2 linked regions of the Coturnix japonica genome follow. The protein of the gene in region 1 purifies or fractionates together with the protein of each later gene. This does not show direct contact. Links are inferred from orthologs where the notes say so. Each region holds a gene or a part of one and is shown on either strand. Other genes may lie near its edges.

Region 1 (3,817 bases):
TTTGGTGAAGAAGATAAATTTACCCAGTTATATGCTTTCCCTTTTGAAAAAACCCTCACCGTATTCCATACAGCTATGGATCAAATAAGCAAAGCATGCATCAGTATTTACATAATCATCCCAGCAGCCACCCTTCTTGGGCTGCATGTAACACACGTCAGAGGAACACTATCTACTTTACACATAAATCTTGATGATTATCTGGGGAAGAAGAAAACAAATCACCAATAATATGTTTACTGTAGAGTCCTAAGTTAGAAAGGTGCTCCTGAAAAGTTCTAACTTAAAATATTGGCTTTGTCTCATTAAAAACAATGTAGTAAACCTTACAAAATATAAGACAGTCAGAACTAGCAGAGCTGTCGAGGGCAATAATTTCAATAAATTGATCCACTTTGGATAAAATAATGCTTTATGCATGTTACAATCTATTCAAAAGCAACAGCTGAACAAGCTAAATTTTCATCCACAAGAGAAGCATGACGGTCACTGAAAACAAAGGGAGTTGCTGGTCATTGTGGGTGTTATTTTTATCAAACAAACTGGTCACCAATGAAAAAAAAAGAATTTTTTATTTTTTCCATTTTAAAAGATCAACATTTAATGAGAAATTCTGAGCCATTACATTTGAAGAGCATACTTCATATCGTAAGCACTGGACCCAATTTAGAGGTAAAATGTCAGTTAACATGATTTAACATCCTCAGGTTTCTGAAGGCCGTCCATATGAAGTTTACATACAGCGCTACAAATACACATCAGATACTGCTGTAAATTTATGAGGAATACAAAACGCTATTAAATACAACTTTCATCCCATGGCACATCAAGCATGGCTTAGCAACAGTCAGTTGTGGTTATGCTTTATTGAATACTTTCCTTTCTGTAGCTGAGAAATATACAGCTTGGATTTGCTTCCATCCGGTCTTTTGAACCAAACTTCATCATGGTTAATTGTTGTAATTATGGCACTACAGAAAATGAGGGAAGAAGGGCCAGGGAAAGAAAAATAAGAATCATTTAGCAAAGTTAAAGAATAAATAACATCAAAAACTGCAGCTGTAATGTAAATGAAAACACATAGTAGGTATAACCGCTAGGCTCAGAAAGTACTGACTCCATTGTAAGGATGGTTTTGGCACCATTTTTTAATAACTGTGTATATTTCTAGTAAAGACAGTTGAATTTTCAGACAGTTATTTTTATTTCTTTTATGAGAAAATCATCACATCTACAAATACTTTAAACGTTACGAAGGACAGTCACTCAGAGTAATCAATAGACTACCCACAGTACACTAGAAAGCATTTCCAGAACATCCTTAAACTTATAAAACCCCAAGGTGTAGAACTAAAACAAAGCTCAAATAAACAAATGAATACAAGGAAGAAAGTGTTCAACTGTTAATCCCAGCACCAGGACCATGAAAAATAAAGCTAAAGCCTGACCTATTTAATTTAACCAAATCATTCTTACATGATCTTTGATTTCATGCTCCTTGTGGTAAACTCCAACACAAATACTGGGGAAAAAACCCAAACCTTAAAATGTTTCTTCCAAACAGAACTGGTGCCAAACATAGCTCAAAAACAGATTAAAACAGTGGAAGCAGAGGACAGACTCTATCAGGGTCCTCTATTACAGGACAAGGGGAAATTGCTTCAAACCAAAAGAGGAAGGATTTAGACTGAATAAAAGAAAAAGTTTTTTATAACAACTGTAGTGAAGTAATGGCACAGGCTGCCCAGAGAGGCTGTGGATGATCCATCCTTGAAGGCATTCAAGCCCAGGCTGGATTGGGCCATGGATAACCTGGCCTAGTGGATAGCAACTCTGTCACAGCAGAGGGTTTTGATCTAGTTTATCTTCAAGACTCCTTCCACAAGCAACAGCAAAAAGTAGTTTTCCATGATTAAATATTTTACAGCTGGCCAACAGATCAAAGTCTCAGCAAGAAAATTCCCAAACACAACCCTTAAATCACAGGCTGTCCAGAAATTGGTTAAGAGCTTCAATCCTTTAATAAAATCCCATCCTAAAGCGAATTACCTTCGGTAAAATTCAACCTTCACAAGGATGAATTTATTTCCAATTTATTCTTCAAGGCCACCACGTTGCCTTTTGCTTAACAGGACTATAGAGAACTGAATAAAATAATACTCACCTTGTAGGACATTCATCTTTCTTATCAATGTATATCGTCTGTCCACGTCCATACCACTCTCCATCATAATACAGTCTTCCTTCTTCAGATCTAGCACTATGTAGATGCTTCTCTAGTTTGACAGGTGCTAAAACAGTCAAATTTAATATCAGTTGGCAGAAGTCGGTAAGATTTAGAAATAAACATCCAGTAAATTATTTATACACCACATATGCAATTTTTACATTGTCATAGGTAGTCTCTCTCTAGATAGTTAGCTCCAAATGCAAGAAAATTAGAAGCATTATATTTATTTCTTTCCAGTCAGATAAATTAAAAGCTGCATTTCCATTTTAAGTTCTCTTTCATACAACCCTCCAATCTATGATGTGAAATTTCACAATTAGAATAATGCAACAAGACACATAATCCGAAATCTCTTCATCAGTGCATTATGCCCGAATGCAAGCAGTAACTGACCACTGAAGAAACCACTTGTCTTCTCTCCCTTTTCATCATTACTCACTACCTCCAAGCACTTGATTTTACCTAGCATTAATATGCTTCTAACCTCAGACCATGTTATCATTTACCACTCCTTTTCCATATATGTTTTTTCAGAGCTACAACTTGCAGTGAATGCAACGTGTGTTCAGAATGCTCTCTTAAAATTCAGATGATTTCAGCTTTCTGCCTCATTTTATGAAAATATTGGCATAATATACCAATATTCACTAGTAAAGCCCACTCTTAGAAGTCTTGATTTTTTAATTAATTTTTACAATTCATGCAGCAATGACAATCACCAATCCAGCTGCAATTATCAACAACTCAGAGCAGGGATAGACATATTCCAATTAGCTCACCCTACCCTGTGTTCAGCATACCAAGGCTAAAATAAATATAGCCTGCTTCAATGCAGTTTGCATCACTGTATATTGCAAGCTCTGTCTTGTGAAATCAGACAACATTTACTTACGTTCTGGCTTTACTCTGTGTGGCCCCAATGTAGCCATTGCCTAGAAACAAAAGAAAATGAAGACAGTCAGCAGACATTTTTTTCTTAATTGCCAGCTCAAATTGTTTTGCACAGCACAGCTCAAGACATTTGTTTTTATGTGCAGCATTAATGTTATGTGATACTGATGACACTATGAAATGCGTGCAAACTTTGAGTACTTTTTGGGGGAAAAAGCAAACGTTACTTTATTAATATGAACTGCTTGGTTACACTTGCTTTTAACTATTTGGGGAGGGGAGGAAAAATGACATTCTCTAATGAGTTTTGACTTTACTAATTTCAAGTTTCCTAAATAAAATTCTCAAAAATGGCCATTATTCTATTAAAAAAAACAAAACAAAACAAACAAACAAAAAAAACCAACACAAAATGACAATAATTCTGGTTCTGAAAAACTAAGTGCTATCTGAACAACACACCCTCCAGATTATTAAGTTATACCCACAAGCAGACAATTCACGTGAGTGAAAAGCTGTGAATCATATGCAGCAAAGTAGATTTTTAATTCTTTTTTGTTGTTGCTATTTCTTTAAATCATGTTACATTACAGCAAAGAAACTGAGTGAAAGCTATTTTTAATCTGTGCCTCCAATGAGACAGGAAAACAGACAGGTTTTCACGTCAGCACCACAAGACAGATGGAAATAAATTTA
Region 2 (3,817 bases), on another chromosome or scaffold:
TCTGCACTGGTTGAGTCCAGCATGGGAGGGAGGGGAGGGAAGGGAGGAACTGAGGGTCCGAGGGCCCACTGGGGAGCCCAGCACCTCTGGGCTGCGGGACACATCCAAGCAAGGAATCTGAAGACCACCGAGGTGGTCAGGTGGTGGAGAGCCTCCTCCATTTCTCCTCCCTCGCTGCTCAGGCCACCGGGGAATAAAGCCTCAACACTGCTGGTGCGTATGAGCTCGTTGCGTCTCTCCAGGACCGCTCAGGTTCAAGAGGGTCCTTCCCTGTGGGGCGCATGCTGAAGTCCAAGGGCCGGCGGGCAGGGCTCCCAGCAGGTGCTGGGACACCCGTGTTCCTACAGAGAATCCCGCTGGTGACAGCTTGTACCAGCCACACACTAGTCAAGTGGCCATGTAACGGAGATACACAGTGAGGGGAGAAAGGCATCTTCCTCGTTTCCTTGATGCGCACGCACACACACACATCTCCCGGGATCTTCCCTGGCCCAGGGCATTTATGGTGTCTTGAATATTGTGCCGTATTTGACGCGGTACTTGTTAATGCTCACAAAGTGCAGGGTCTCTGTGTCACAGGTGGTGGTGCAGGGCACCAAGCCCTCCAACCCTTCGCCCATTAGCCACTTGCTCGTCTCGGCTGCCATCTCACGGGTGACGTGCTCCTTGGTCCATTTGTCCACCCAGGCCTGGAACCGCTGGTGCAGCCGCTTGCTCACTCTTTCATGGGACTACAGAAACAAAGAGGTGTTAACGAGAGGTGGCTCCAGCCCCAAGCTGCAGCGTAACACATAGCAAAGAGGCCAGATCTGCAGCATAAGTGCTGGCCCTTGGCTAGTGGCAAAGGGAAGGTCCTGAGGAAGGCCTCCACAGGTCTCTTCCCAAGAAGCCTACCTCTAAGAGAATCACAGGACAAAAAGAACTTGGATATACCAAGAGATTGTGCCAAAAACAGGCCATTCTGGCACAGTGCTCTTTCTCTCTTTCTTTTATATATTTAAAATATATTTTCTTGCATCCTACCATGCAGTCAACAGGTTTGTGGTTAAATGTAGCTTCTGCATTTCCTTCAGCATACTGAGAAGTTATGCTGCACGCTATCGTGTAAGAGGTTCAGTAATTTGATGAGGTTAAGACACTCTGCGATAAGCACCAGCACATGGTACCCTGCTTATAAAGCAGTTTTTCCAACCTTGTGCCAATTGAATTGGGTAGATGGAATTCAATCGATCAAAATCCCCAGCATCGACATTTCAAAGACCCAATGCTGAAACGGAATACTCTATCTGATGCGAATATGAGTTTAACTAAATTACAGCTCATTAAATAAAACCATTACTTGTATTTCATCAGCAAGAAATAGATGAGAGCAGTCCTTTTAGAAGCTTAAATAAATGTCCAACAGAGCTGTGAAGGGATGATTTCCTAGGCAGGAAGCAGAGGACACCTCTCCCACTCCCTCATCTCCCAGCCAATTTTCTCAGCGGTCAGTAGGTCGCTCAGGAAGACAGTAATTGAATAAACAGAAACCCATTTTCTGCAGCTACAGAAGAGACTGCTGCTGACAGAACCTCTCAGGTACCTCTGCTTCTGGTTGCTTAAGCCAGCAGCTTTCACCAAAGTCTGACCCTTTTCACTTTCTTTTGACATTCTAAGCAACCACGCTCTGGTTAATGCTTTGTTTAAGTAGATTGTAATAATATTACAGCAAAGTACTTTAAACTTCCAGCCTACATAGCCATACTGACTGGAGTTTACTCTTAAAGCTCTCCAGGTTTTCTCTGCTGGGCAGAAATATTCCCATGGGACGAGAACAGTGTCAGAGCATTCTGAACACCTAACCAGGTTTCTCCACTCAAATCCCTCCTTAGGATGAGGATTTCAGATCCCCACGAAAGCACCCATGGTGGTTTGTGGAGCTGTGAGCTCCCCTGCGCTTGTCCTTGCCATAAAAGCAGTGGTTGTAGAGCAGCTCTGCCATGAGCGAGCAACCAGCTCTCAGTGACTGGGGACAGGAAAGGCTGAGGGATGGTACCCAGAAGGAATGGCTGAGACAGAGAACGTTTGATGCTCTGCACTCTGACTTCTTGTTGAGGAAGCCCTGGAAGAACAGGATGTCTCAAAAGGCACTATAATTGCATGCGGAGGACAGGTCTTCCCTACAACATGGGGACCACCATAAGGGGAAAATGTCTCCTGGATAAAAAATTGAGGAGCTAATGGTCAAAACACACTCTGGAGAGAAGGGGAGGGGCGAGAGGATGAGCAGAGTAGAAGGCAAGAAGAAAAGATTACACCTTAGGAACATTCAGTAGATCTTTGGTGTCTGGGGAAGACAGAATAGCACACCATCCTCCTGGCAACACAAAGACTGCTGAATGTTCCCCTGGGACCCCAAAGGACATTACATCTGGCTCTTCCCCATCTGACTTTGGGAGCAAGAGGTCCCAGGAAAGCCCAGCTGCCCACCCCAAGTCCTTCCACTCGCTCCTACCTGCTGAGCTCGCAGCAGAGCAGTCCTCCTGTACATGTAATCCTCCGATTTGATCACGTACACCATCTTATAGGAGTTCAGTTTGAATTTACACTCCAGCTTGTCCAAGCTCTCCACGTTCTCCATGGCCTTCTTACTGTTTCCCTCCTTCCCTTCCTTCTCCTGCTGCTCCCGACCACGCTGACACTTACGGATCCGCCTCAGATTCCTGCAAACCAGAGAACCCCTCTTGGAATTAGTGCCAACCCTCTAGGACTGCAAGGCTGGAGGTAGCTGCTGCATCTGCGCTGGCCCCTCAAGAACCTGACCAACAGCTTGTATCAAATTCATTCAGATTTAGGCCTCTACAACAAGACACCCCATGGGATTTATCCATTTCTGAAACCACAGCTATTTGCATTCAGCTCCCTGCTCATGAAAAACCCTGCTGTGGCACCCAGTGGTTCTAGGCAGAGGGTTACTGTAAGCCAAGGCAGAAAGCAGCCCTCACCCTCTCTGCCACCTGCAGATCGTGCCATCTCTCAGTCACTGGAGAGCAGGAGCCCAGGGTGGACCCACAGGCTTTCTGGACAAGCAGCAGCACAGTACCTCTATGCTGCACTGCCAGCATAATGGCTTCTGTAGTGGCATCAAAACACAGGTGATACCAAAGGCCCAGAGCTGCAGGAGAGCACGACCCTTTGCCCTCCAAGGGACAGACCCATCAGGGAGGGTTCATGGCATAGCCTGGCCACTTACCTGGGCAGGAAGACTGGTTTCTGGGCCAGGTGCTCCCGGAGCTCAGGGGAGGTAGAGTCGGAGTTGACGTACCGCTCCACGTAGTCTGACCAGCGCTGGAAGTGAGCACACAACAACATAAGGCACTGCTTTCCCACTGAACCTAAGCTAAATTGCAAGTCACACAGGAGAGCACTAGGACACCTCTGAATGCTCCCTGTATTTAATTCCTACAAAGGCAGGTACAACGCTTCTCTTTGTGATTTTCTGGCTTGTCTGATATAAAATAAACCAGGAAGGATTTACCTACTGACATCAATGAAAGCTTTACAATGCTTTGTTGATGTCTCTATATCTTGTGCAGACAACCGACTGGACATCCTTGTCCAGCAAACCCTTGACCATCATAGTCATCTCTCTGGCCATGCAGCTCTTACCTCTGCTTCTACAGGGTCATCAGAGTTCTCCTCCTCTGTGTCCAGCAGTTCAATGGTTAACTGAACTTGGCCTCTGCTCTGGATGAACATCAGCTGTAAATCAAAAGGCAGAAGGGATTCAGTGAGGTTTCCAACAGAACAAAATATACCCCTCTACTTCTCTCTGGGG

The links.
Region 2: the proteins of BRMS1L (region 1) and SIN3A purify together in Homo sapiens (affinity purification with mass spectrometry; 3 studies listed by BioGRID, with this or other methods). This does not show direct contact. The link is inferred for Coturnix japonica from reciprocal best matches to the Homo sapiens genes BRMS1L and SIN3A.

The regions. Positions count from the first base shown.
Region 1 is NC_029520.1:32,955,530-32,959,346, reverse strand, and holds part of BRMS1L (breast cancer metastasis-suppressor 1-like protein), read right to left. Parts: intron 3,163-3,817; coding exon 3,123-3,162; intron 2,292-3,122; coding exon 2,165-2,291; intron 972-2,164; coding exon 848-971; 3' UTR 1-847. UniProt on the Homo sapiens protein: Involved in the histone deacetylase (HDAC1)-dependent transcriptional repression activity. When overexpressed in lung cancer cell line that lacks p53/TP53 expression, inhibits cell growth.
Region 2 is NC_029525.1:1,962,094-1,965,910, forward strand, and holds part of SIN3A (paired amphipathic helix protein Sin3a), read right to left. Parts: intron 3,742-3,817; coding exon 3,649-3,741; intron 3,328-3,648; coding exon 3,233-3,327; intron 2,703-3,232; coding exon 2,495-2,702; intron 732-2,494; coding exon 501-731; 3' UTR 1-500. UniProt on the Homo sapiens protein: Acts as a transcriptional repressor. Corepressor for REST. Interacts with MXI1 to repress MYC responsive genes and antagonize MYC oncogenic activities. Also interacts with MXD1-MAX heterodimers to repress transcription by tethering SIN3A to DNA.